4 linked regions of the Tamandua tetradactyla genome follow. The protein of the gene in region 3 interacts with the protein of the main gene of each other region in a biochemical or structural test. Links are inferred from orthologs where the notes say so. Each region holds a gene or a part of one and is shown on either strand. Other genes may lie near its edges.

Region 1 (7,271 bases), on a different chromosome or scaffold from region 3:
GCCAAGTTGACACCAGAACCTAATCATCACAGGTAACATATTTTGTTTGCAATAAAGTGTAACCACAACCTACGAATGGATAATCAAGTGTGGTATATACATACAATGGAATATTTTTCAGCTGTAAGGAGGAATGAATTCCTGATACAGGCAACACCATGGATGAACTTTGAGGACATCATGTTGAGAGAAATAAGGGAGACACAAAAGGACAAATATTATATGATCTCACTATTATGAACTAATTATAAGTCAGCTCATAGAGTTAGAATCTAGAATAAGGTGACCAGGGGATAGACTGGGGTTAGAGAACCGGGAGTTGATACTTAGCTTGTACAGAATTTTTATTAAGGTTGATGGTAGGGTGTGGAAATGGATGGTAATGATGGTAGCACATTATTGTGAGTGTGAGCAACAGCACTGAACTATATAGGTGAATGTGGTTAAAAGAGGAATCTTTAGATGTGGATATTACTAGAGTAAAAATTAAAAGATAAAACATAAAGCTGTATAGCACAGTGGGCACTATTGCAGACGATGGACTGTAGTTAATAGTACAAGAATATTCTTTAGCGGGTTATAACAAATGTATGAAACTAATATACGGTAGTAATAATAGAGTGGTATATGGAGAAAATATAGCTAATGTAAATAATGGATTATAAATAGAACAATTTTAATAATCTTTCATAAATTATAACAAAAGTAACTATTGCTAGAAAATAGAATATATTTTTTAAAAAGTGCTATCATTAATAGTAACAAATGTTCCAACCTATGCAAGGTGTTGGTGGTGGGGTGACGTACAGGAATCCTGTACATTATGCATGATTGTTTTGTAAACTGAAACTTCTCTAATATAAAAAAATGAGAATAGAAACATCAAATTGGGTAAGGTAGTGGTATTGTGATTTGCAGGAGTTATCCTTAATCTTAGGAGATATATGATAAAGGATCTAGAGTTGAAGATTAATGTACTTTCAACTGGGTCGGTTAAAAAAAGAGAGAAAGAGGAAACCAATATGAGAAAGCGTTTCATTTGATGAATCCAGGTGAAAGGTATATGGGTGTTCATCATATTTTTCTTTCAACTTTTCTGTATGTTGCAAATTTTTAAAAAATGAAGTTCTATCAATTATCTAAAAAATGAAAAAGTACAACTGCACAGCCTTCTCAGCCAACACTCGTGTCTGCAACTACTGAGTAGCCCTGTGAGCCCCCTCCCATTACATCGAATTCTTGTTGTCGAAAGCCTATGCCTGGCAAAGAAAACAAACCTGCTGTTCTGAGCTCCAAGCCCACAGAGCAAGTAGATTTTCCCTGTAGATATTTATGCTGAGGAGTCACAGAATCTAAAAACATGAAAACTAATAGCCTAATGACTTTGAGTTTTTATAGTTATTTCAATCATCATTTAAAGGAGATAGACTAGAGATAACATTTCTGAGCACCTTGACTAGTAAATCACCAGTATTTAAACAACAATTACATTATGAAATGGAAATTAGCTGTCATGATCAAGTCGAACGGCTAATATAATTGATTGGTTCATATTTTTAAAAAGGTAGAAAATACAACCCAAAGAATAGCTTCATAGATTTTACAAAATTAACTAGAGATGACACATTCTATTTTGTTGGACAAATTGGGGATTTGTTAAGTGAAGATATTGTTCACAAAGATGCCTTAAAGGAGGCATTATCACCATCCTCATTTTACAGAAGATATCAAGAATCAGAGAGGTTAGTCGATTTGCCCTTACAGAGTGGCAGAGACCAGAAGATACATTACTGAGCCTCTTGCTTCTAAACCTGCATTATTTTCACTGGTCCATGTGCAAAGGGAAATTTGTTCATTGCTTTTCTTTGTCCTTTGGAATGGGTTTATGGAAGGTGGGTTCATTAACGTTGCCTTAATTTTTAAAAAAAAGGCAAGTTTTTCACACCAGGCAGGAAGCAAAAAGGCGCAAACCTGGGACCTTGGATTGTGAAAGTGAAACGGATTTCTTCTCAAATTATTTTTCCAAAACCTTCCTGGCATTTTTAAATCCCTTGAACTATCTGTGACCACCCACTGCTCTACAACATTCAAATTCAGTGATCTTGAGTCCACTGCCCCCTCACCCTCCACACATGCCTCCTCTCCTATGCATGTATGAATGTAGGAAAGAGAATCTTAAGTTTACTCCCACTGGTACATAACAAGAAATGAGAGTCTCTTACCAGCAAGGCACATTAAAATCCTTACAATCAGTACTAACAGTTTGTTTAGTACTGTTATTTATCCTACTATTAATAGGAGAAAACGCTGAAGTTCAGAAAGGTTAAGTAACTCGGCCAAGATCTCACAGTAAGTAAGTGATAAAGGTGGAGGTGAAAGCTGAAGACTTAGGCAGGGGAACCCCCTCCTACCACCACTCTCAGGCCCACCTATTTCACTAGAGTGCTCCTTAGTGTTGGCCTGGACTTGGTACAAGAATCTCAATTCAATCACTAACGGTGGGGCACACCCGAAGCCTAGGGAGGAGATGGAGAGGGGAAGTGGGAGTGCACGCCCGAGAGGCAGGCCCTCACAGAGTCTTTGGCTTTTAATAATATAAGTCCTTCTTTCTGGACCAACTTCGGAAATGCAGCTTGATAGAAAATCTGAACGTCACTATGGTCCCAACTTTTTCCAAACCTTGCCCACGCAGCTGAGGGCACGTGTGGCGCACATCTGCCCGCCCGCAGCAGTTGAAGTCACTCAGGCTGCGCAAAGCCCAAGCCGACCCTGGGGAAACAAGCCTCTAATTAAGCCCATGAAACTTACAGAAAAGCCCTTCCAGGGTCGCAGCCCTTTGAAAAGCGGGGATCCCATTTTCTGAGAGCCACGTCCGGACACGTTTTCGGGAAATCTCCGGAAGTGGAAACAGCTACCCCAGTTTCCTGGCCTCGGTTTTCCCTCCCGGCAGGATGATGCCCTGAGGTGCCGGAAAGAAAGGGGTTCCCCGTGGCGCGCGCGTCCTGGCAGGTGGTGTGCGTCCGGGTGTGGGCGGGGTTCAAGTCTGAGTGTGCGCTCACAAATACGCGATTGTACAAGCCGCCTGTTAACGTGTCCCACGTCCAGGAGCTTCCTGGCGGCCGGGGAAAGCTTTTCCAGCCCCTGACTCCTGTTCGCAGAAAGCAGGCCTGCAGGTCCGAAGGCTGGCGCGTCCACAGCGGGGAAAGCACTGCAGGCGCGGCCGGCCTCTGCGCTCCTTTTCTGCGACGCGCCGGCGGCTGCCGAGGCCATGACCCCACTCGACGCGTCTGGCCGAGTCCAGGTTCTCCTGCCCTCCGTGGCCACAGACCCAACCCAGAAACTGTGAAAGGCGGAAAGTCCGAGATCTCCCGAGGCCCAAGGCCCAAAGCCAAAGGCAATAAGCCTCGCCATCGTGACTGCGATCGCGGACGCCAATGTAACATTCCCCGGGTTCACCGGTAGAAGCGAGTATGTTTTTGTTTTCTTTTGTTTAAAAAAATAAAAAAGGAAGAGTGAGAGATGGGGGAAGACGGAATCGAAAGTGACCGTGAGCCTAGAGTTGACCATAGAACCCAGAACGGTGTTTATTTTCCTTTCTTTCCCTGGGGGGCGGGATCCTCTGGCCTTACAAGTCACTAACGCTCAGGGAGAGTTGTGTGATAAACGGTGGTTTTCGCCGGTGCCGGACCCTCTACTAGTCTGGGAGGCCAGCACCCGCGGCTTTTCTTGGCGCCAGGATCCACGCGGTCTCGTTGCCCTTTGGGGCCTACGCGGTAGCAGCGAGGCAGGCGCGATCCGGCTGGGAGAGTACACGCATCGAACAGCTGTGCGCACCCGGCCGCTGCCCCTGCGGAACTGTGCAACCCTCATGGCGGGGCCGGGCTCCGCATCCTTCCTGGCAGGCTCCAGTGTGTGGGGGGTGGGGCAGTTAAGTAGAGCGCCTCAGTCCCTGAGGGTCTGAACCTCCATTCCTTCCCCACCCCCACCCCCAGCCGCTCTGCTCTCTACCCCCAGACGCCCCGCGCAGACCCCTGCGCGCGCTGGGTAAATCTCGGCATCATGCCGGGAACCGAAAGCAGAGGACAGGAGTGGGATCTGTAACCCACCAAATAAGCCTCAGGGATTCCGGAACCGCAAGTGGCGATAGCCACTTTTCAGTTTGCAAAGTGCGAAAGTTTCCAATGCAGAATTCATCTGGGTTCAATCCCGGTGCTGAGCGCCAAGGACCTACAAAGATAGAGGAGCTGGTCTACTTGGAGGCTTTCGGTAGTCTCCGAAGGAGGGAGGATTAAAAGGTCACCTTTTCCATGCGAGGAAATTGAAGTTTCAACAGAAGTGTCCAGGAGCTGAAGGCTGCACTCGCCGGTACAGGCAGTGGCCCCAGCTCCCTAGGTCAACTATTCCGTCACGCTCTCGACTCTCCCCACCCCTGACTCGGTCCAGAACAGCTACTGACGTTAGGCAGCGCAGAGGGCAGGCCCTCAAGGCTCCGCCTCTGCAGGTTCTTCGATACTTCCAGGAGGGGTGGGCACCTCTCTTTTGAGCCCAGCCCGGCCCGCCCAGCCTGGGTTCCTCGGACCACCGAGCTTTAAAGGACATTGATCACTCCGCTTGATGCGATGCCTAGAGGAAAGGGCAACTGAAGACCGGTGAGGGCAGACGCTAAGCCCGGACACCCGGCCAGGTCCGCGCATCCGGAGACCTGCGATTCCCCAGTCCTACGGGTGAATTTTCCGAGGAGGCTCAGACTGGCAACAGGTTGAGGAGCTCATACCCTTGAAAATGCACAAGCCAGACCTCCAGTCCACCGGCCTCCACGCCCCAGGGATGACAGGAGCAATAACTACAATGGCTGCCCCTTACTGAAAGCTGCCTGCGTTCCAGGCAAAATTCAAAAGCCTGTGTGTACATTATCTCAGGCAAGCGTCACAGCAAACCAATGAAACAAGTTTTTTCTTTTAAGATACCCGTTTTACAGATGAGAAAACTGAGGTGCAGAGAGATTAATTACTTTGAGTTCCAGCCAAAAGAACCCAGTATCCTCATGTTTTCATTTTAGAGACTGGAATGTGTGACAACTGTTGGTCTGGGAGGCAGAATGCAGTCATTGAGGCTTGGCTCCCTGACCATGCGATTTTCTCAGTTCTCGGGTGACACCCACAATAAGCTTTGCCAGTTGGAAGCCTAAAGGATTAACAGGGTTTCTGTTCCCTGGTGGAAGAGTGAGACAGGGCCCAGCGCTGGAACCTAGGAACAAACTTTCTGGACACTAATTTTGGCTCTGGATGTTTTAGCTGTGTGACCTTGGGCAAGTTGCTTAACCACTTTGAGCTTCAGTTTTCTCAGTTACAAAAGAAAAGAATAATAATGCATAAGTCAGGTAGGCAACTCTTATGATCATTGTGAGAGTTAAATGGAGTAAGAGAACATTCCTTTCTCTCATCTTTTCTTCATTTTCCCTGTTTCTGGTATGGTACCTGGCATGTAGTGAGTGTTCAAGATAAGGTATGCTCCTTTCTTTTACTTTCTGGGAAGCAGCACAGGCTGCACCTAGGGCCTCCCACTCTCCCCAACCCAGGCCTAACACTGCCCAGCCACCAGTGGGGCAGGGGATCCTCCCGTTCTCCCTCAGCCTCAGGCCTGGGTTAAGTAAGGCTCAGACACCAGAGCCCACTTTTCAGTGGACTGGCCTCAGCCTCTCTAGTTCGGTGAGCAGTGGGTAAAGGGGGGTAAGGGTGGCCCAGGGAAGAAGCAAGGCCAAGGATAGGTCCCCAGACAAGAAGCAAGGCCCAGGATAGGTCCCCAGACTTGCCACTCCTTTCTAATTGAAGGAAGCTACAGCTAACACATTGAACTTACTCTAATTTCAAACCCAAACGTAATATATAGTATGTATATATTAATTTAATCTTCACAACTGTCCACTGAAGTAGTACTATTACTATCCCCATTTTACTGATGAAGAAACTGAAGACAAGCAAATAACCTGCGGTGACAACATCAATGAGCAATAAAGCAGGAATTTAAACCAGGAGACTATATGGCATCTCACATGGGGGTAGGGGTAGGGAGAGTGATGGTGGGAAAGGAGGGGGCATCTTGAAGAGAGGGGAAATAACCTGAGTCAGCAAGATCTCACCATAGCACCCAGAGGTCCAGAGGCCTGTAGGTGACATGGTCAGCCATATCTGCCCTCCCACCCCTCACCTCCTCCTAGGAGCCACCCCCACCTGCCCTGGAGACCCCTGACCCTGAGGCCACATTTTCAGGTTGTAGCTCCTTTCCTATTTTGGAGCTGGTCTTGGGTCTCCTGAGTCTGAGATCCAAATCGTATGCCTACTCATGGCCCACCTCTGCCTTTGCCTTGGACCTGCTGGGCCTTCAGGCTGCCACCATCATCATCCACCCTATCCTCTCATGGTTCTCAGGGCCTCTCCTGGTCTAGGTCCCTCCAGCCCACACCGTGCATGCCTAGGGCTCTTTTATCTGCCTCAAAATCTGATCAGATTCCTAGCAATTCCTAGCAGCCATGTCTGTCCTCCCACCCCATCCCCCACCCCATTCTCTCTCCTGTGAACACTCTGTTTGCCAGTGTGGACTGTCCAATCTCAGCTCCATTTCTTATGGGGGTTTTTTTTCTTGGTGGATCTGGGAGCTGAAGAAAGTTCTGGACTCCTGAGGAGTAATGTGGGGAGACGCTGGTCCAGGCAGTGCCCTCCACCACCAACCCCTTTAACCCCCACACAGCACTATACATCTCCAGCCAGGACCACCCACAAACAGACCTGAGTCCTCATCACTGCCTGTGAGGCCCACCCCTGCCTCTGGGCTTCCTACAAAGGGTGGTAGTTAAGGAAAGCTGTTTCATGGCCCTGGACTTTTCTCCCTCCCTCCCCCCCTCCCTCCCCTCTCCTTCCACTAGAGAGAACCTATATACCTTCTTGGCCTCACTCTTGCCTTCCCTCCCAGCAGCAGCCCTGGGCCTCCAGGTGCCTTTGGCCTTTCCAAATCACCTCTCCTCTGTCCTGTCTTTTATTCATTCCTTCAGTCAATAAATATTTATTGAGCCTCTACTGTGTGCTAGGTTCTACAGATCCCCAGCTAACCCAACCTTTGCCTTCTCTAGTGACCCAAATTCAAGCCACTGCCAGGAGCATGAGGGGATCACTGAGAGGAAGAGGCAGGGAGAAGAAATCAGGGAAGACTGCCAAGGAGGTGACCCAAAGAGTAAATAGAAGTTGGTGACCTTTGGGGACCAGAGAAGCTGATAG
Region 2 (7,676 bases), on a different chromosome or scaffold from region 3:
TACATATATATAAAACAACTAAATACATTAACAGTTTCTCTAAGAGAAAAGGTACAACAAGGACTACCTAATCCATGAATACTTAGTTAACATGTAACATTTACTGAAAGAAAAAGAGACAAATTGACAAGAACATAAAATGGTTAAGAGGGAATTCAAAGCTTTTAGAAAAGTTTAATTTTTGGCTTTAGTACTCAAAGTTCCATCAGAAGTGGTGCCACTTATTAACCTACTCTGAACAAAAGGCTGCAATGCCATCTTTTAAAAAAATATTTATCACTATAACAATGGCTTAGACCAATGGTCAGATCTTATGTGGTCTGAATACAATGAAACAAATGTAGCATAATCCACTTAGTATAATCATTCTCAAACTACTAGGAATGCTATGGAAATACAGCTTCACCTGGATGCATATTTCCTTCTTTTAAAAAGATAATTATCTTTAGTTGTAACTTCTTTGAAAATATGAAGGTTTCAATTAAATCATGTACTTCTCAAGTGAGATTTACTTTAAAAGCTTTTAGTGATTTTTCTTTCAAAATTATATATGATAAAAATTCATGCCATGCAAAAGAGTTTCATTCCAGAATATTTTAAACAGAATATAATCAGTATGAAAATATTTTTTAAAAACTGTGAGGATAGTAGTTTGTTCCCATAAACCATCTACAAGACAGTCTATCCAGCACAGCAGTTAAAAGCATCAGCTGGAGCCAGACACCCTCAGTTAAAATCCCAGCTCTTCCCACCACTTCCTAACTTTGACTTTGGGATGTAACTTTGTTTCTTGGCTCCCCCATCAGTAAAATAAGGACATCAACAGCAAGCTGTAAGAATTAAACAAGGTAGAACACAAAGAGTGCTTAGAACAGTGCCTGGCCTATAGTAAATAAATGTTCATAAATGTCAGCTATTACAAAAGCAGCAATTTAAAATGTCTATCTGAATGAATCCTGAAAAATACATCTGTTGAAAAATATTTATGTTCCAGACTAGAACACTTATTTTTCATCCAAGCTTCTCTCCACAATAACTGCATGCAATGAAATTTTTCTTTCTGCTCATCTTCAAAATGCTAATTTTGCGAAGCAATCCTAAAACCCAACACAAGTATTCTTTGAAAAAAAATTCCAGCCTTCAATGCTATCTATAGAGCAGAACTATACTGCTTAAAGTAAGAGGTAAGAAAATCAGAATTTTTGAGTCCTAAAAATCCATCCTGGAGCAGAATATCTCATTATGAATGAGAGCACTTATTCTAAAGGATTTATTTACTAGTACCAATACTCTAGGCACCCATCCAACTCATCTAAAACCAAATGAAAGAAGAACCAACTGGATATTGGTCACGGAGCTAAATGGAGTCATAATTACTGCAGTCTACAATAAATAAAGCTTTTTGAGCTATCTAAGAAATTAGCCTACCTAAGAAGGACATTTCTGAAAAAATTTTAAATCAATTTAATAATATCACTTTATGAGGATTTTTAACTTAAAAATTCTGAACCCCATGAAATTACTCAGGAAATCGTTATGTGCACATGTACATTCATTCTTCTAGGAAGATGATCAAACACTTTCATCATATTCTCAAAAGGGAGTGGATTCCCAAAAGATCAAGAATCACTGCTCTTTATAGTTTATAAATTTCCTTCTATTCCTACATTATTAGTTTCAGAAAAGAACCTGCTTATATAAAATTAAGCAGTATAATTCTAAATCCATCTCAAATCTCCTGTTTCCCAAATAACTGGGGTCGTACGTAACAGAAATTAACAACTACAGAAACACTTCAAGTTATCAAAAAATTCTCAGTCTAGGGCGGCCAACAGTGGCTCAGTGGCAGAGTTCTGGCCTGCCATGCTGGAGGCCTGGGTTCGTTCCCGGTGCCTGTCCATGCAAAAAATTTTTTTAAAAGTTCTTAGTCTACAAAAGTTTTTCAAAGCTGTAACTATGAGATGATGGAAAACAGCCTACAAGAACCACCTAAAAAAGGTGTCTGCTTTGGCCAGCTCTAGAATAATCGGTATATACAGAAAACGTAGAAGAACATATAAAATATAAAAATGAGCCTCTAATTGTCAACTACATACTGTTACAATTACTGAATAAAGACAACTAAATTTCTGTTTTATCTTAGAAAAGGTGGTTTAATAGGACGATTTTGACACAGAACATCACAGCAGACCCAAGTAAAATTAGTTCCTTGAGCTCACAACAAAAGTTAATAACGCAATGTTTTGATTTTTTTACAACCAGTGCGGGATTTAAATTCTTACTATAACAACTTACTAGCAAAAACATGAAATACTTCGTAAGACTTCCTTCGAAATATAATACAGGCTGCGACTGACGACTATTGCCCTTAAAATGATCCAATCTGGTTAACCGACATTATCCTTCAGTTCAAATGTACGGGCCTTTAAGTCGGCAATAGCTCAAATATAAACAAAAAATCCTTAGCAAACTGAAGACTAGTAAAGTAATCTCGAGGTTTGTTTCTTTCCCCAGCTCTCGAGGGTTGTACTTCTTTGTGCACAGGCTCCGAAGGTCTCCTAACCTCAGACCCCACTAATCGCCCGGCTGGGCTCCTCGGCAGGACATCTCGTCGTGAGCCTCGGAGCTCCGGGTCCGCTGTGGAAACATCAACGGATGTGAAGAGCGTGATCCCCGAAGCAGCTCGGACGCCAGGAGTTGTCAGGTCGGGCCGGGCCGGGCCGAAACGAAGACCAGGGGCGCGCCGCCAGAGACCGGGCCTCAAGGGCGGAAGGCGCCGGCGATGACTGAGGCCGGTGACCTAGCTTTGGGCTCGAACCCAACCCTGAGGTCGGGGGACCGGCGAAGAGAGAAAGGAGAGGACTCACCTAGCGGAGACCCTCAGCCACCGGCTCCTGCGTTAGCGTAGCGCTCGTAGGACTCTCGCTGAATTCGCCACCACCCCCGCTCCCGGCTGGGGACACTTCCACGTTCCGCTCCAACGTGGCACCCGCAGCCCCGCCCGTCCGGCCGACACTTCCGGCACCGACGCCACGCCCCTTTGGCGCCGGCCTGCCACAGCACTTCCGGGAGGAGCTACCGGCTGGGTAACCTGAGTCCATTCAGCCGCCTCCAGCGCCCTAGAGGGAAGGGATTTGCCTCTGTGGGGTTGCTCACAGGTTGTCCATGTGAGGGCCAGGGCTACGAGAAAGGAAGATCTTGCTGGGGTTTGCTTTATGCCGGAGAATGGCCACGGCTTCCCAAGAACGTCACGGAGCACTAATCCTGAGGTGCCCTTAATACTCAGCAGACCTGAAAATGAGGATTCAAGGGCAATTTGAGTATCTGTAGTTTATTACTTGTTTATTTGGTTATAACCGAAAGTTGTTGTGAACATAAGTTTACTTTCTCCAATTGTCTAAGTACGTAAGGGGGCCTGAAATGGTAGCAGATTTGTTATTCCACCGAGGCAGATTGGGTGAGGGGATATTCCAATTGGTATCATTTAAGATCTCGCCCTTGGCCACTAGTATTTTCCTGGCTTTTGCTAAAGCCTGCCATCTAATTAGGTGCGTTGTATTCCTTTTTTTCTGATATAGTTTAGGAGCAATTATTTTACAATGAAGCAAACCACAGGATGACGACTTGCTGAAACAGCATCTAAATCCAACCGCCTTAATTCAACCAGCTTTTTCCCCATTACATTTCAATTAAAAACCAACTTTCCTAAAGCGTTTTATAGTAGTTGTTACCAGATGTAACGTTTCTTTTTTTTGTACAGATAAGTAAAATATGAGAAACACTAAGTGCTAAAGGGTAGGAACATTTTGAACTTTTAATGCACGCTTCCCGACACCCTCTTACAGGTAATGTACCCTTCAAGTTTTAGAAATAGATCAACAACCTACACCGGGTAATTTCTAGGGTGTTCTAAAAGGCCTTCTACTTGTCACTGTCCTATTTCAGACCACCTGCTTTTATCTGGAGGCAGGGCTTATTAGAACTTTACCCAAATAATCTACCATCTAATACATTCAGCCCAATTGCATGTTTCTATTGCAGGAGGTAGCAAACTATACCCCTACCCCTCCTCCATTTCCTTAGGGGTAGGGGTCAGTGACTTTTATTTGGGGACATGAATAGTAGACAAATTTCAAATTTATGCATCCACTTTTATTGGTGCACAGCCACATTCAATAGCTTACATATCGTTGTAGCTGCTTTTCTGCTATGACAGAGCTGAGCAGTTGCAAGGTGGAATAAAGTATTTACTATATGAGGCTTCAGTTTGTCAACTCCTACTCTACGATAGGGTAAAAGGTTAATACTTCAAGTTCAAATAATCAGTATTACAAATTCTTATTTTTGTGTGCACAAAGGCAGTATGAAAAGTAGATAGTGTAATGATATGGCTTTTGCAATGTGACTGCGATTGTGGAAACCTTGTGTCTGATGCTCCTTTTGTCTCGGGTATGGGCAGATGAGTAAAAAATATGAAGAACAAAGGTTAAAATAAATTGGGTAGACGGAATTAAAAAAGTAGATGCCAATTTACTCATTACTGCAAGGATAAATTTAGGTGTGCATATTTATATGTGATTAAATATGAAGCCTCTGGATTGTTTTAAGTGCAGTCAGTCCTAGTTTTGACTATACAAGCTGAATCTAAATTTATGATTACTTTTGACCTTTAAAAATTTGTCAAAACATTATTTTGCAACTTATCAATGTAAAAAATAGTAAAAATACTTATTTAGTATACAAAATTTAAAACATTAGAAACATTAAGAATTAAAATTTATTTTTTTTTAACAGTGCTTTCTTTCTCATCACATAACTTATGATATGGAGCTACCATCTTTTTTTCTATGACATGGCAAACAGTCATACTCCTAAGTTTGGATGAGCATCCAAAATTTTATCCCTTGCACTTTCAATGTCATCAAGAGTTCCTTTAATATGAAGCTTCTTGCCAGAAACACTTCCTCTGAGACACCTTCATCCTTTTCATCACAACCACTTTCCTCATTTATGTCGATAAGTCACCTTCATTAAGTTCCTCTGGCTGCATATCTCAAGTCTCTTCAACAGCAGCAGTGTCAACATTCCCAGTCAGCTGTATCTTCTGTAACTCCATTTCCATTACTATTTGAATCCTGCAAAAATTCCTGTAGTACCACCCTGCACTACTGTGTAAAGCAAGGACTAATGTAATTCTTGGAATCTGGAGGTAAACTTCATCACAGCATCTTTATCTAAACAGCTTCACCAGATAATTTAATACTAATCAATTCATGCTGACTTCTGAAACAATGAAACCAGCCTCTACTGACAGTAAAATGTTCTTTCTCAGTCTCCTTGTAATAAAACATTTTCTTTCAACGTAGCAACTAACTTCAATGCTTTGATCTGAATGCTAGTCAGACTGATTGGGATTTGTTTTTTTATTTACTACAGTCTTCAATCCAAAATTGAAGTAAACGCTCCATTTCAATCGAGAGGCTTCCTGTTCCTAGTGCAATTTATGCTAGAAGATGTTAAGGTTACTTTACCTTGTTTTTTTCAATATGGTTCATATCATAGCTTCATGCAGGCCTAGATCTCTTCCTATCTTGGCTTTGCTGTTACCATTTTCAAATCTTCTAATCACATACAATTTCACTTCCAGCATTATTACTTTGTATTTCTTCAATTCCCTCTTTCTTTATCCACTTTTGTAAAATGTCATATGTGTTTATCACTGGGAAACAATGAGGCTACACACTTTTGTGTTTGTACATGAACTGGATAACAGATGCTCAGTGACCAAAGCGGACTTTGATTCATGATGCACATTTGTTATTTGCATAATGATTTATGGACAAGAGAGCTAGCAGCAAAAAAAAAGAGTTGTACTTTATGCAACTATTCATAGAACTGGTGATAACTGATACTTTGCGTTTTTGGCAGACTGGTGTTATTTAACTTAACTGTAGCAACTGATGTTCATGCATATTGGAACTGTGCAAAGCAAGGACTACCTATATCGGAAAAGAAAAACCTCTATTAGAGTTCGCAAAATTATCAAGTTTTAATCCAATATAATTATTTGCTAGCCAAGTCTACTCCTTGATCAAATCAAACTGAAGCATTCTCCTTGGAATGTTAGTTCTAAGACCCTGAATTACTCACTGGAGCCAAAAGAATGTTTGGAGATAATCCAGAATTCTTCAAATAGGATTTGTAGATAGTTCAAAGACGTATTATTTAAGAATTTAGTCCCCACCCCACATTTCATTTAAAAAATCTTGAGCTTTCTCAGCAGCTTAAGAAAGATCTGCAAAGAGTAAAGTTCTAGACAAAATCATCACAAGGTACAGATAGCTATGCGTAAACAATTTGTTCCATAGCAATCAGTACCATGTTTACATTTCCACACAAAAATCAGCAGCATTGCTCCTATTAATAATTTATTTTTAAAATCTTTTGATTAAGGGCTATGAACAAGAATTTATGCCAACTTTTGTGCTCGTGTAAATTTTAGAAATAGGAAATTAGCTTAAGTCAACAGTGAGTATTCACAAGAATATTTCTCCTTTTTGACATGGTATAGAGATTCCTCAAATTTGAGAAACAACCTAAGATAACACATCTAATCAATGACAGAATCAGAATTAGATTTGTGATTAATTATCAGCTTCCTACCAACTCTATCTACAGTTCTTGAACAAAGCTTAAGTTACAGAATGCTGATCCACAGGGATACCCAAGAATTATTTATGGAATAACCAATAGTTCAGCAAATCTAAATCCTGGAACATATGATCTCTAAAAGCTTCAGGAGCTGAAAAGATGATATCATTATTTATAAGAAAAGTGTCCCCTCATCTCCATTGCCTATTTGAAATTTAATCTATTGATTTAGATTAACATATCTCTAAATCATATTTATACTGTCTTTGAAACAGATTAGGGAAAAAAATTTCAAAACCCATGCACAATATCCACATTATACTCATGTTTTGGTCAGATATACCCTTCACTATTTTATCAAAACTAATAAATTTTCCTGTAAACTCAAATTTCTCTTAAAAAAAAACTAAGAATAATTTATAAACTCCTTACCTTATTAAATAAATCTTCTAATTCTTGGTCAAATAAATCTGACAAATGATAGTTTTCTAAAAAAACACCTTTCAATTTTATTCCTAAAAGGGAAAACATGCAAACAGGCAAATCAATGTACCAAAACCATATCATATAAAATAACTTTTTTTTTCCATCATGTCCTCATCCACATATATTAATCACAACAAATCATGATGTGAACAGCAGTGGGAAAAGTTTAATCACTGGACACTTGTACTGTGTTCTTTTCTGAAATTAAACTCTAGTCAAAGTTTTCATTGCTTATCCCTTTAAAAAATATACAGTAAATGTGCATTCTAGAAATGATTTCAATTCTGTAACAATAAGAAATACAAAACTTCTAATTTATTATGTACGTTAGTTTGCTAGTTGCCGGAATGTGACATACCAGAAACAGAATGGTCTTTTTAAGGGGGAGAATTTATTAAGTTGAAAAAGTTTATAGTTCTAAGGCTGTGACAGTGTCCCAATTAAAGCAAATCTATACAAATACCCAAATTTACACACCAGCAAGAGGTTACCTTCACGTAAGAAAGGCCGATGAAGTTCAGGTTTCTCTCTCAACCAGA
Region 3 (7,100 bases):
ACCCAGCAGGTTGAAAGACTTTTCTGTGAAGTCTCTGGGCTCTGTTTTTCTTATCCTGCCCAGTATGTGCTGCTTGTCTGCCTGCTGGTCCCACCAACATAAGATGATGCAGTACCTTTAACTTTGGCAGACTCTCCCTGCTGGGGGCATGGTGGAGACAGAGTAGAGGTTGTAGGCTGGTTTTAATGGCTTCAAATTACCAAGCCCTGGTGCCTGAATTCCTTGAGGGAGGGATTCCACCTGAGTTGGGCTTCACCCCTCTCCTGGGGAAGGCACAGGCTCCAGACAAGCCCTCAAACGAGCTTGTTTCTGCCTATGCCTGGAGCAGTTGCAGACTGAGAAGCCCTGCCACTGTATCCAAAGGCAGTCAGCCTTTGTAGAAACATAGCCACAAAAACCTGTTTCTGGGCAGGCCACAGTGGCTCAGCAGGTAACAGTGCTTGCCTGCCATGCCCGAGGACCCGGGTTCGATTCCCGGTGCCTGCCCATGAAGAAAAATAAATAAATAAATCCCCTTTCTTTTTCCATCAGCCCTGCCCCCTTGGTGCTGGGGCAAAAATGAGTGACCTCCACCTTGATCAGGTTCACCTGAGCTGGGAGCCTACTTTCAGTAGACAGAATTTGTTAATTAATGTCACAATTGGCGTTTGGCTGGGCTCAGCCCCTGCTGCTGGTTAAGTCTCTTTCCTTTCTCCTGTGGGAAGCAGCCTGTGGGGGAGGGGCGCCAGCTGCCACGGCTTGGGAAACTCACGATTCTGGGGAAGCTCGCAGCAGGTCCAGCTGGTCCAGACTGGGGTACGCTGTGTGTCTGGTCACTCACGTGGTCCCAGGAGCTGTTCTGTATTGTTTCTGGTTATTTAGTAGTTGTTCTGGAGGGCGAACTAAAATGCACACATTGCTAAGCCACCATCTTGGCCCTCCTCTGATTTCTTAATACTGAGTGTCCCTACCACCTGACAGTTATTGTCATCAATAGAAACTGTATATTTCCCACATATTTTCATAAGGTTGTTGTCTGAAATGATGAAATGATAAATTCTTTAAAAGTAATATTACAAACTTATACCCATCAGTAGATGATAAGTACTTAGTGAATGGGGATCCCATGTTATATATCTTTCTAGCCCAGCAGGCACAGAGTAACTGTTAGTTACTTGAATGTAAGAATAAACAAAGTGCGAGTTTAACCGAGAGCAAGAAAGGTCAAAGTCAGTGAATATCTTTTTCTAAAGAGGAATGTAAATAATGATTTATGACCTCCAAATATATCTGGGTCTCAAAATAAAATTCAAATGATGACCCAGAGCCTATATCATAAGGGAAACCATGCAAGCTGCCTATGGACTTTTACTTGATGAAGCAACAGAAGTCCTTCAAGAAAAGGATTTTCCTACTCTATGTTATTAGTAAACGTCCATCAACATTAACAAATCAATATTTATAGTAATTCTTCTTTACTCAGAGACCCTTATTTAGATTAAAAACCTATCTGAACACCACTAACTGCACTGCCGTAGCTTGTCACCTTCAGAGTTCATTTTATATGTTAATGAAATGAACTCAATAAATTACACATAAAAAATCAATTTAAGGAGTGCTTTCTTGTCAACAAGGTGTAATCATACTTAAGTTAGCCCCTCATTGCTATCACAAATTTTCATCTACTTCTGTCTACAGGTAGCATGTTATTTTGTAAGCACTGTAGATACTTGTAGAACAACTCTCTGCAATACTCATTTTACAGAAAAGGAAGTGATTTGTGGAAGCATATGATGTTTTTCAAAAAGATTTTCCTAAAATCAACTTAGGTTCAACTGTAGGGCTTAAGAAGGATTTGAACAAATGCCCATTTACTGTGAAGATTTTCTGGGTGGTTATCACAGGCTCAGCCTACAACTAGACTTAGAGTGTCAGTGTCAAAACTGACAGAAACGCTATTGCAGCAAGGTCTTCTTACTTGTCCTTCAAGTTGTCATCCAGCAAAGTCTCAGCCACAACCCTCACGCACAACTTTCTGAGTGACCGTTTCCAGAGCTTCCCTTAAGATGTGAATAGAGGGGTTCAACCATGGGAGATTGGGGACCCGGGGCAAATTTTGTTAGGAATAAAATCGAGGTAGGAGAAAAGGGAAGGGAAAAGAGCTCCCTTCTTCTGACACTAGCATTTTGGCTGGCACCACGAGGTGGAGGGACTAGAGGGGGCCGTGGGGCGCAGTAGAGAGGACGGATACAGCTGCTAAATGCCCCCAGCCTTCCTGCTCCCCAAGGCGTCCCTTCCATTCCTCCCCGGAGGGAGACGACGAAAGGGGGAAGGGCCATACTGGGAGCTAAAAGGTAAGAAGGAACGTGCTGACTGCCTCCAATTCCGTGCAACTCACCTCCACTCCCGAGCCCACCCAGCCGCGCCGGGCCCGTCCCCCGCCCGTGGGGGTGGGGTGGGGCGCGGGGCTAGCAGGCGGCTCAGGAGGGGCCGAACCGCCGCCGCCACCGCCGCCGCCCCAACCCGGAGGCTCTGGAGCGGTCACCGTGCTGGTCGCCGCTCTCTTCACCGCCGCCGCGCTACGTGATGACGTAACGCAGCTGGAAGATGGCCCCCTCCCTCCTCGGGGTCTGCGTCACGTGACCAGCCATTTCACGTGACCAGTTTCTACCCAGATGCCCAGCTTCGGTGCGTTTAGGGAGAGAGGAAACGAGAAAGGTGGCGCTGAATCGGGTCCGGCCCGCAGGGCGACGTACTGCTCTCCAGCTAGGTGATTGGCTGAGGCTGAGCCCCATCTCCCCACGGCTCACGAGGCAGAATAGATTTAGAGGATTCCAAGGATTTGTAAATTAAGGTTCTGATTCCAGGGAGTACGTATTACCTGCCAGCTATTTAGGAACCCTCTCCCATCGAGAAAACCCACAGAAGATTCCAATTTCTTTAGGTCCATTCTCCACAACGACCTTTTCGGGCAGACCTCCACTGTGGTGAGACACCTCTGAGCTCTGCGATTCACAAACCTTCACATTCTCTGCATCATAATGGGGCTACTCATCTCTCCTGAAGTGATTCTGCTTTGCTTCCTCTACCCCAAGACAATTAATTGGAAGGCATTTGTGGCCCCTAAAAGTAGGACACTATCAAGTTCCTACCTCATTTAAATACTAGATACAATGAGGTGCTCAATAAATATTTGTTATTTCTCAGATCCACGTCTCTGGCCTTATTGCTGAAACAATAAGCATACACTAGGCTTCAGCACATATTCCAGACCTCATTACTTCCTCACCTAGGAAGTGGATGGAGTTGTATCAGATGTGTTCCCAAACTTTCCTTCCAGTTATATACTGGTGGTTGCAAACTCAGAGATGACTCCAGAAACCAGGCAGATGACTCCTAAGAGTGAAGCAGGCTAGGTAGGGACAATGAACTACACAAGTCCTCTCTAGAGGACATAGCTGCTACTCAGCTTCAGTCGACTGTTCCCACTGTGCAAACAAAACATGTTTGTAGACAGTTGTGGCCTGCAAGTAACCAGTTTGTGACTTTTGCTAACAAAAGTTTTCTACTAAATATCAAATAGATATAAAACACTTGTATCTTTGAAATATTCAGTGCAATGAATACCCAGGTACCCATCATCTAGTTGGAAAAAGAATGTAAAGTTTACCATTGAAACATGGTGTGTCCCTCTCCTCCCACCCTGTGCCTTACCCTTCAGACATAACCATTATTCTGAATTAACATTCCCCTTTTTAAGATTTTACCATTTGCTTGTATCCTTAAACTATCTTTAGTTTTGCACATTTCTGAACTTTATATAAATGCAACCATATGTATTCATCTGTAAGTTGCTTTCCTCCACAAATTTACTTCTGAATTCAACCATTGCTTTCTCTGTAATTCATTTTCACTATTAGTGTTTCATTATGTGAACTTTAACGACATTTATTTTTCCATTTAACAGTTTTGGACATGGGCTGTTTGCAATATTTTGCTATTACAAGCAGCTGTAATGAACTTTTTGTTTATGAGCACAAGGCATATACTGATGCATATCTGCACAAAGCGGTGACACCAATGTGTACTTTTACCAGCAGCATTTGGTCTGCTCCACATCCTTGTGAATACTCAATATTTTAGGCCTTTTAATTTGTGCCAATTTGATTGTAGGGAAATGCAATATCATTGTGGTATTTTACATTTCTCTATCACCACTTGAGGTTGAGAAACTTCTTGTTCGTTGCCTAGTTGAATTATTTCTTTAAAAACATCACTTGCTCCCTGAGTTGTACAAACTTGAAGTGAATCCAACTTTATTACCCAAGAAGACTTTCCTTCAACACCCTATATTAGCTGAGAAGTAATTACTGTAGGCCTCACTTTATCTATGAGCAGAACTTGAGTATAATTCACAAAGACACAGAAAGGCATTGAATGACCCCTTATGAGACAGCCTAACCAAGGCAGTGTTAATAGAAACTAACTCTAAAATAATATATAGTACACCTTTGATAATTTTAGGAGATCCCAACATCTTTAAGAATCCTCTAATTATTTGATACCATTATAGAATATTAATTTTCCCAATAAAATGTCTTGCAATAGGTAGAGAAAAATAAGCTGCATTGAGGAGCAAATGCTAGGAATTCAGTTAGGCTTATTTCTTGGCCCACATATACCAGTCTGTCAGAGCTCATGATTCAAGTTTATGCCTCAGCAGAATCTGAAACTGTTATATGTCGTAGACCTCTGGAGTATGCAAATAGTTGAAACCTTGAAATGTTAAATCTTTGAATGCCAAGTATCTTCTGTACTTTTCTTTTATTATCGTCATAGTCTGTGCATCAAGATACATAGCAATGATAGCAGGTTTCTTTTTAAAGCTTAGTATTAAATATTAAATATCTTTTCCCATTTTAACTTTACATTACTCTGCCAAGAAAAAAAAAATTAAAACTCAAGTTATTTGAAGCCTGGACATACTTCCATGATTAGCCGGGCTATGTAAAAGTTGGTGGCTTTGATCTTGCTGCTGTATACTCAGATTCAGGCCCTAAAAAGATGGGACCAGGTTATAATTGTTTTTGAAAAGTCTGCTACAAAAATGGATGGCCTGTCATAAGCCAGGTTACAAAATAAGGATTGGGGTAAGGAAGGGACATTTTCTTTCAGAAACAGAATTTCTAAAGAGTCCCAGTTCATCATTTTTTCTCAAAATGGTCTGAGGAGGGAGTAAAATCTCAACATGAGCTTCAAAGTACTGTCTCTTTGAGGGAATGGTAGTTGCCTTACGGAGGGGGAGGGATAAATTGGACTATCCTCTTCCCCACCAACTAGGGGAAATGGAAATGGAAAGTTTATTGCCCAGTGAGTGTGAAAGTGGGCTGAAGCTTTGATGGTAAAGAATTCTCTAAGAGGTTTCTTCTAGAAACAGACAACTCAGACTCTTCCTCTCACTTCAGCAAAGAAGTTATTTTTAAAAGCACTTGGGAAGTTCCTATGCCACACCTCTGGTGGGAAGGCTCAGAGAAGGGAGTCATCAGTACAGCCACCTTCTAGGCCATAACGGAATTCCTGAAGATTGGAGACTCCATAGAAGTGTACAAAGGCAGCTGCCACCACCAGGACATGGAAAATCTGATGAGACTGGAACTGCAGGAATAAAAAAAAAGAAAAGCCTTTAGTATAATGGCAAAAAAGGAGAAGAAATTCTAGTGGGAGAAAACATCTGCCTCTTTCGGTTTCTTTAACAAAATTATTTTTTTACATCATAAAAGTGATATCTTTATTATAGAAAACTTTTAAAATAGTCCTGCTCAAAAGTACACCAAAATATTATTTTTTTACAGTTTTTTCTATGTGTATATACATATGTAATGCACAAACAGTGCAAGATTCCTAAGTCTATTACCACCTTTTTACTCAACCTTTAACTTTACTTTGGCCACTCACCATCATAGTCCCTACTGGAAGAGTCATTTCTTACCCATATGTCAAACTTTCCAGGAAAGAAGCGCTCAGGAATTCGAGCAGCATAAAGGCCAGCTCCAGTGATGTACATCACAGCCATGAGAAAGAACCAGCCCATCTGTCCCACTGTGGTGGCCTTGACAAAGCCCTCAGCGATAGTAAAGTGCATGGTGGGCACAACACCACTCAAGCCAAGTCCCAGGAACACTCCTGATCAAAGCAAACATAAAAACAATGAAAGAGCCACTGTGTGGAAGTCATTGTTATCTTACTCTAGATTCTAAAATGTTTATATTAATTAGCTATTTTTTGGTGAACAGTAAATAGTTAGGAAATTTAGCCAGATGGATAACAGCAGATATTTATTCCACAGCCCAAATGTCTAAGTGCTTATATAGCTATCTTTTAAGGAACACCAAGAACAAACACCTTAAGTTCTTCATTATTTGTTAAAGAGCCTAGGCAAGAATTATGTGAAACTCCTTCATGACTGACTCAGGTACAGAACTAGATTTCAAGGCTTCAGTTGGCTGAATAGATCACCTGGCTCCCAAGCCAAAGAAGAATAAGACACGTTTCCCATTAAAACTATAAGAAGCTGTACATAGCAGAGAAGCTTAGCCTACCTATAGTTATACCTAAGAATCGCCTTTGGAGGGCCTCTTTTGTGGCTCAGATGTGGCCTCTCTTTCTCTCTCTAAGCCCAACTCCGCAAGTGAAACCACTGCCCTCCCCCCTATTCGGGACATGACGTCCAGGGGTGAAAGTCTCCCTGGCAGCATGGGAGATGACCCCCCAGAGGTGAATCTGGCCCTGAAACCATGGCATCAACAATGCCATCCTTACTAAGAGGGGGAAAAGAAGTGTTACAAATAAGGTATCAGTGGCTGAGAGAGTTCAAAATAGAGTTGAGAGGCTACTCTGGAGGTCACTCTTACATAAGCTTCAGTTAGACATTGCAACAATCATAACTTGCCAACCCCTAACCAAAACCATTCCTGCCAATCCTATGGAATACTTAGGGCATTATATAAGATTCTACAAAGGTTCTATGTACTACTGTAACTTTCCAGAAACCTATAGCCTCCAGATGGGTCCCTGGACCAGATAAGTCCTGAAATGCTGAGGGACCAACTTCTTCAGAACAT
Region 4 (7,659 bases), on a different chromosome or scaffold from region 3:
AATTAGATTTCAAATCATTAGCTCTTTCTCAAAAAGTAGTGCAAGTGATTTTTTAATATATTAAGAAAGTAGTTTCTGAGCTTACCCCTTTAGCCAGAACTTTAATTGGAGTGTTAACAAATATAGTTCAGAGTATACCGGATGCAGCTGAATGGAAGTTTTTGCAGTACATAGAAAAGAAAAAGAAATTTAAAATAGAACCAGAAAAGTACAATAGTAGTATTTCTTATTGGAGAGTGAATTCCACAATGGCTTTTTTATACCTTGATTTAAATAATTAGGAGGTACTTGTTACCAAATTTGTAAAATTATTCCATTATTCACTGGTAGCAGAACATATGTTTTCTCCCGTATAATTTAGTATATAGGAAAATAATGTATTTTGCAAGTATTGTACCTTAACTATGTTTGTTACATCCCCCCAAATACATTATTCAAAATCTGGATCCTATTTATGGAATCTTCAATGAAATCCAAAAAAATAATATGAATAAATGCTCAGGACACACACTCACAAACACACATACACAGTCATATAGATCACATTTCCATCTTAAGTGAATTTTTATTAAGTAGGTAATACATGTAATACAGAGTAGAATTCATTTCAGGGGAAGATTCTTCAGACTTTTAAAAATCACTATTAGTATTTAGCAATTTATTATATAAAGGGGTTCCCAATATATCATCTTACTGTTCTTTAAATACTTTTTTTTTATGAAAAGGGACTTAAGAAGTAACCATGAACCATCCAAATTACTTATAATGGTCCAATCTGAGTAACATTTAATTTTAGGGAACACTATCTACTCTTAACTTTAGAATTATTTAAAATTTGTTGGCATTTAATAAATACCTTTTTGGAAGCCACATTTCATTAGAAATGTAATTTTTCCAAAGTTTCTGGCCATATACTCTCTTTTCTTCAAATAACTAGGTCTGAAAGCAATGAAAACCTGAAAAAAATAATGTTTTCCCTACGGCATTAGTTCTTAAGTTTTAGAATGTGGATTACTTAGGAAGTTTATTTAAAATGCACATTCACTGGGCCCACGTCAGAAGTCTACTGTGCCTTTGGACCTTATTTTGAGAAACACTTCTGTGGAGTTTCTCTTTTCTTTTTCTTGTGGCTAATATTAAGAAGAATATTTATGATAAAACACTTTGAGGATGGGTAAGCAGTGAGTTACTTATTCATAATTTTAAACATATTTTGAATGACTTCTTCAAGTGAGTTTTCTTCTAAAAGTATATCCATCAGTTGTATACCAATTGTTCTGGTTTGCTAGCTGCCAGAATGTGATATGCCAGAAATGGAACAGCTTTTAAAGACGGAATTTAGTAAGTTGCAAGTTTATAGTTCTAAGGCCATGAAAATGTCCCAATTAAAGCAAGTCCATAAAAATGTCCAAATTAAGGTACCAACAAGAGGTTACCTTCACTCAAAGGCTGATAAAGTTCAGGGTTTCTCTCTCAACTAGAAAGACACATGGCTAACATGGTGAGGTCAGCTAGATTTCTCTCCAGGCTTCTTGTTTCATAAAGCTTGTCCAGGGGTGTTTTCTTTTTTTATCTCCAAAGGTCTCTGGCTGCATGGGCTCTAGTTGTTCTCCTGGCTCTGTTGTGGCTCTCTTCCTCTCTCCAAAATGCTTCCTCTTTTAAAGGATTCCAGTAAACTGATCAAGACACATCTCCCTCCAATCAAAGGTTAGTAGCCACAATTGGATGTGTCACATGCCCACAGAGATACTCTCATCAAGTTTCCAACCTACAGTGCTGAATAGGGATTAAAAGAAAAGGTTGTCTCCACAAAATGGATTAGGATTAAAACATGGCTTTTCTAGAGTATATGGCTTTCAAACTGGCACACCAGTAATGTTATAAATGATGAGAATTTTTCCATGATGAGGTTTTAACAGTTATTCAGGGTGGTTTCTTGTTCTATCTTTTTTTAACTAACAAGAGTTAATGTGTATTTTATATAGAAATGCATTACAGATGTTTTGTGTTCTGCTTTTGCAATTTTTAAATGCCATACCGATCCTTTTTATATTTTATTATAGAAGTTTTCTCAAAATACTCACAAGGGGAATAAGGTGGTAGGCAGTGAGAATGGCTAGAATTTTGATGTTCTAAGAAAAAATTTATTTTGCATAAGCATGATATTTGTGGTCAGATCATTTTATATATATGTAGCCTGAATTGGATACCAGGTATTGTCCAGTACTAGTACATTTGCTTTTTAATTTTTTTTTTTTGTCATGTAGACTACTGCCTTTGTCATCATATTGAAACATGTATTTCTGTAGTTCAGTGTCTTCCTCCAACTTCATGCGGTTGTTGGCAGAATTCAGAAATCACTGGCCATCAGTGGGGACTATTTTTATCTCCTAGAGGTTACCTGCCATTTCCTGCCTGGTGACTCTCTCTGCAACATAGGAGTTTCCTTCTTGGAAGCCAACAAGAAAGTATATCTGCTGCTGCTTTGAATTTCTCTGAGATCTCCCTGGCTCTGACTTCTAGATTTTCTTTCAAAGACTCACCTGATTAGGTCAGGCCCAATCATGGGAATGATGTCCCATCATATTCATAGATCTTTCCCAGGCTTATGGGTGGTGGATTATGTAGGATGGGTGTATCTGAAGTGAGAATCTTGACAGTCATTTTAGAATTCTGCCTGCTACAATGGTAGACATTTCATTAACTTATTTTATAAAGTTTATGAAACATATTTTTCATTATTAAAATAATACATAGCGACTATAGGCATTTATAAAACATACTAGAGAGTTAAAATGAAACATAAATTTGTACCACCATATCAACAACACCACACTTAAGTGGTTTTCCCTTTTTTTTCCCCCATGAAAAGGCTTGGAATCCCCCACCCCCACCCGTCCCCTTTGTTTAGCCTGGTAGAGATGGCAAAGTCCTCAGGCAGGGGGACTGCCCCACATTTCTTTCCACCTATCACCCCCTTGTGGAGTTTGGGACACTGGAAGGCTGCCCCTACAGGCAGAAAGGGGCGGTTAAGGGGGTAGATTCCTGAGTGTGACAGACCTAAAATAAAAGTCATTCATGACAGAGACTGGTATTAGCAAAGGTTTGATGGGATGTTTTTAAAACCCCTGCGACTTGTCTTTCATCCTTCAACAGGTAACCGGCTCCACTTAAAGGGAAATTGAAACCATCCGAAAGGAATACTTGCAACTTCCGTGCCACAAACTTCCAAACATCGGTATTCTTTATCTATCCTTTCCTCATTCCCTCCAATCACAATGAGGAAGGTACCCCTCCTAAAGCATTCCAGATTCCATCTTCTCAGGGAATTTACTGTTTTTTTCTTTTCATCCCCTTATTCCTTCCTTATACTGGCTCATTCCCATCCCATACTTAAGCATCCTCAAATTTCTTCCTTGTGAAAGCTAACCACCCTCCAACGCCATGTACCACTGTTTTTTATTCTCTGCTCTCATTATAGTCAAATCTTCTAAAGGGTTGTTTGTCTGCAAACTCTTATTACTTCTTTCTCACCCAGGTCACCAAGTACTGCCTGGGGCAGTGTGTCCTATAGTAGGCACTGCACAATCATTTTTTAAAGTATATGATGGATGGATGTACAGGATTCTGAGGGTACAGACAATAAATTCATGTATGGCTTCATATATAGTAGACTGGGATGCTGTTTGACTTACTGAGTTGAGAAATTATCTTCCTATTGTGATGTCTTTGATATACGACTTCATTTTGAAATAAAGTTATGGAAAGTCAGCATTATGCCACAAGCAACAAGTATGAAAACAAGTGGGGAAACAATGGTGCCGCATAACCAATCCGTTCCCACATAAGGACATGGGACCGCATCACCCAAGGGCCGCGCGTCCCCCACCCCATCCGAGGGGTAGCCCGAGCCCAGTCTGTGCCTAGATCGGCCCTTCCGGCTGGACTCCTGTTTACAGCACTTGGCCTCGGTCTCGGAGTGCAGGGGAGAGCCGAGCGGCTCTTGGCCAATGGCAGCTCTTGAACTTACACCTCTAGACGTCAGCGCGGCAGTGTAAACGGATGTCACACAGCTGGCTCGGAAGCGTCTCCTCCCGCTCCAGAAAAGGGGGCGGGGGCGCAACGGCCTCCACGAAACCTTGGGCTCCGGAAGGGAATAAGGCGCGCTGCACCCCGCGAGCCCCAAGCCCTAGCGGGCCAGCATCCTCTCTGCAGTCCCCCGCCTGGCGGTAGTCCCGGGTGAGCTGCCTGAAGCCCGCGTCCCCGCCTCCAGCGCGCCGCCGCGGCCGACTCCGCCCCCTTTCAGCGCGGGCCGCGCGCTCCCGCAGAGCCCAGCCGCGTCGCGAGTGCGCGCACTGCCGGCGGAGCCGCAGTTAAAATGGTCCGAAGGGGACCCGGCGCTCCCCCGGCCACGGCGCTGACTGACTGAGCCGGCAGGCCGGGCCCGGACTCGGACTGGTCGCATAGCCGGCAGGCTTTCTCCTTCTCTCGCGTCCCCAAAGCTCTCTCCCGTCGTTTTCCCGGCTTTTCTGGGCAAAGCATGTAGCCCCCGTCGGGCACCCAGGCAGCTCGCAGCCGACGCCCACCCCCCACCGTCGCGTGTGTGCCTGTGTGTGCGTGTGTGCGTGTGCGCAGAGCGGGCGACCCCGCCGCGGGCCCGGGGCCGAGCCAGCGAGCGGCCTGTCCCGCCGCCGGGAGCCCGCCTCTCTGGGCCTCCCTCCGTCCCCGTCCCTATCCCCGTCCTCGGGGCCTTCTATATGGGCCACCTTCTCTCGAAGGAGCCGCGTAACCGCCCAAGCCAGAAGAGGCCTCGCTGTTGCAGCTGGTGCCGCCGCCGCCGCCCTCTCCTCAGGCTGCCCCGCCGGTCCCCGGCCAAGGCGCCCCCTCAGCCGGCGGCGCCCCAGAGCCGGGACTGCTTTTTCCGCGGGCCCTGCATGCTCTGCTTCATCGTGCACAGTCCCGGCGCGCCCGCCCCCGCCGGCCCAGAGGAGGAGCCGCCGCTCTCGCCGCCGCCGCCGCCGAGAGACGGGGCCTACGCCGCCGCCTCCTCGCAGCACCTGGCGAGGCGCTACGCGGCCCTGGCCGCCGAGGACTGCGCGGCCGCTGCCTGTCGCTTCCTGCTCTCTTCCGCCGCCGCCGCTGCCGCCGCCGCCGCTTCGGCCTCTTCGCCCGCCTCTTGTTGCAAAGAGCTGGGGCTGGCCGCGGCCGCCGCCTGGGAGCAACAGGGCCGGAGCCTCTTCCTGGCCAGCGTGGGGCCTGTGCGCTTCCTGGGGCCGCCTGCCGCCGTGCACCTCTTCCGGGGGCCGTCGCCGCCGCCGCCCGAGCCCACCACATCTCCAGAGATGGTGTGCAAGCGGAAAGGGGCAGGGGTCCCTGCTTGCACCCCCTGCAAGCAGCCCCGCTGTGGCGGCGGGGGCTGCGGTGGCGGTGGCGGCGGAGGAGGGCCTGCGGGGGGAGGAGCCTCGCCGCCGCGGCCCCCCGACGCCGGCTGCTGCCAGAGCCCGGAGCAGCCCCCGCAGCAGCTCTGTCCCCCGCCTTCCTCTCCCACTTCGGAAGGTGCCTCCATAGAGGCCGGCGGGGACGCTGTCCGAGCTGGGGGCGCCGCCCCCTCGCCCGCCCAGCAACAGCAGCAGCATGAAGGCGGCGACGCGGACGGTCCGGAGTCCCGCGAAAACCCCTGCGACTGTTACCGGGAGCCGCCCCCCGAAATCCCAGACATTAACCAGCTGCCGCCATCCATTCTGCTCAAGGTGGGTGTGGGCCGCAAGGATGCTCGCTTCCCCAACTCCGGCCCCCGCCTCCAAGGTTTCTTCTCTCCTCCCCCTAAGCACGGGGGAGGGGGCTGCCCTGAGAGCCAGGGACATCCGATTGGGAATTCAGTAGGGAAGATGCTTACCGTCTGTTTTTTGAACTAGAAAAATGTGGAGTCTGCTGACTGTTATAACTTCCATCTATTACCCACAGTTTAAGGTTCGTCTCTTTTTAGATTCCAAGCCCAGTGGTTTAGAAACTATTTGTAGGCTTTTGTGAAATATTTTATCAATTGAGCAATTTATACTTACTGGATAGTGATTTTGTCTATTAGTATTTGAAAGCCTTCGAACGATACTTTTAGATTTAATAGCTGCTGGTTGAAATAACAGTTAACTTGTACTGAGCACTTACTATGATCAGGCACTGTGCCAGAAGCTTTGTATACATAATATCTCATTTAATTCTTCATATAACCCTGTGAAATAAATATTGTTAACGTCTTCATTTTATTCAAGAAGAAACTGGCATTTAAGTGCTATGGGCCAGACTTAACAGTAGTGAGGCAGGCAGAAGTGGTCTTTGCTCCGATGATGTTTACACTCTAGTGGGGCATGAAGACATTGAATGACTTGTACAGGGTCACACCCACAAAGTAAGGGGCGCATCTGGGTCTGGAACTAGGGAATTTAGGCCTGCCTGCCCTAAAAAACCCTGTTCTTCATTCTGTGTTGTATTGCATTACTTCTGTTTAATCCCTACATTAGAGCATACAGGTTCCTACAAAGTAAGGGCAAATGTATTTTTTTGTTGGGGATGGGTGTGTGGAGAAGAGATGGTTGTTGTGTGGTAGCTTTGCAGCACTTTCAACTAAGTGAATTTTGCAATTTTGTCAATGTTAGTGACAAAGTTATGAGATAGAATTTGTATGAAGTTATGATTAACTTAAGTTCTTTTGTCTCATTTTTTGCCTGCTGTCGCTCCTTCCTCTTCTCCCTTTCTGGAGCTTAAGAAACATAAGCCTCCCTTTTTCACTGTGGATAATACTTAAGGTTAGCCATAAATAACCTTGTTAAGAATTTGACTACTTTTAGTGATACTCAAGGTCACCAGTCACCAGTATACCTTCTTTGATTAGTCTTTTTTGCATATTTATAATTCCGTATGTTTGGATCTGTTCTACTGTGAACAGTAGAATTAGTCTTCTTGTGAAAATACAGCAAAAGTGAGGGGAACATGACAGCACTTCTGGAGGTATATTGAAGAGTAATTGCTTGTCATGTGGTGTGGGAAGGGGATGGATTTTAGGGCAGAGGGAACTTTCCTGATACCTCTAGATCATTGATAAATTTGGCACGAGGTTTAATTGCTGTCTTTTTATTTGGCTAAGTAAGACTGCTAAAAAACAAACCAAAACAAAAACGAGGCACTTTTTATTTAAATTATTTCATGCGGTAGAGAACATTTTAATTTTATTCCCCCCATAATCTTGCAATGTAGTAAAACCCTATAATAAATTTATTCTATCTGCTTCATTCTTCTTTTTCACATTTTTGCTGTAGACTGCTGAAAACTTGGCCTGAGGATCTTTTGACAATTACTTGCCCTTTTATGTTGGAGTATTTGGACATGTTAAGTAGATTTCCATTTCTTGTAATAGAAACTGACATAAAGATTCTCTAACAGATCTTGTGGTCCTTGTAGCATTCAGCATGAAGTGAGTGGGACAGCCTGGAATGAATTGAAATCAAGATTCTTTCCAAGTAGGATTTTGGGGGACAAGGCTTTTGGGGCAGAAGGCTGTATGCCTTGCTTTCTACTGTATTCCCTCCCCAAGTGCAGTACTCAGCATATGGTAGCACTCAATAAATATTAATGGGAAATGAATGGCCGAGTCTTGAGGGAGTC

Evidence for each region.
Region 1: the proteins of KLHL12 (region 3) and LNPK form a complex in vitro, tested with the Homo sapiens proteins (2 studies listed by BioGRID, with this or other methods). The link is inferred for Tamandua tetradactyla from reciprocal best matches to the Homo sapiens genes KLHL12 and LNPK.
Region 2: of the proteins of KLHL12 (region 3) and SEC31A, one has a biochemical effect on the other in vitro, tested with the Homo sapiens proteins (3 studies listed by BioGRID, with this or other methods). The link is inferred for Tamandua tetradactyla from reciprocal best matches to the Homo sapiens genes KLHL12 and SEC31A.
Region 4: the proteins of KLHL12 (region 3) and FBXL17 form a complex in vitro, tested with the Homo sapiens proteins (3 studies listed by BioGRID, with this or other methods). The link is inferred for Tamandua tetradactyla from reciprocal best matches to the Homo sapiens genes KLHL12 and FBXL17.

What each region holds. Positions count from the first base shown.
Region 1 is NC_135329.1:148,211,342-148,218,612, forward strand, and holds the start of LNPK (endoplasmic reticulum junction formation protein lunapark), read right to left. Parts: upstream 3,016-7,271; 5' UTR 2,809-3,015; intron 1-2,808. UniProt on the Homo sapiens protein: Endoplasmic reticulum (ER)-shaping membrane protein that plays a role in determining ER morphology. Involved in the stabilization of nascent three-way ER tubular junctions within the ER network.
Region 2 is NC_135350.1:44,826,061-44,833,736, reverse strand, and holds the start of SEC31A (protein transport protein Sec31A), read right to left. Parts: upstream 3,018-7,676; 5' UTR 2,868-3,017; intron 1-2,867. UniProt on the Homo sapiens protein: Component of the coat protein complex II (COPII) which promotes the formation of transport vesicles from the endoplasmic reticulum (ER).
Region 3 is NC_135330.1:60,149,337-60,156,436, forward strand, and holds the start of KLHL12 (kelch-like protein 12), read right to left. Parts: upstream 3,001-7,100; 5' UTR 2,930-3,000; coding exon 2,861-2,929; intron 2,522-2,860; exon of another isoform or gene 2,378-2,521; intron 934-2,377; exon of another isoform or gene 752-933; intron 1-751. Other genes in the region: ADIPOR1 (adiponectin receptor protein 1), read right to left, coding at 5,506-5,634, 5,969-6,162. UniProt on the Homo sapiens protein: Substrate-specific adapter of a BCR (BTB-CUL3-RBX1) E3 ubiquitin ligase complex that acts as a negative regulator of Wnt signaling pathway and ER-Golgi transport.
Region 4 is NC_135347.1:22,018,287-22,025,945, forward strand, and holds the start of FBXL17 (F-box/LRR-repeat protein 17), read left to right. Parts: upstream 1-4,658; 5' UTR 4,659-4,757; coding exon 4,758-5,750; intron 5,751-7,659. UniProt on the Homo sapiens protein: Substrate-recognition component of the SCF(FBXL17) E3 ubiquitin ligase complex, a key component of a quality control pathway required to ensure functional dimerization of BTB domain-containing proteins (dimerization quality control, DQC).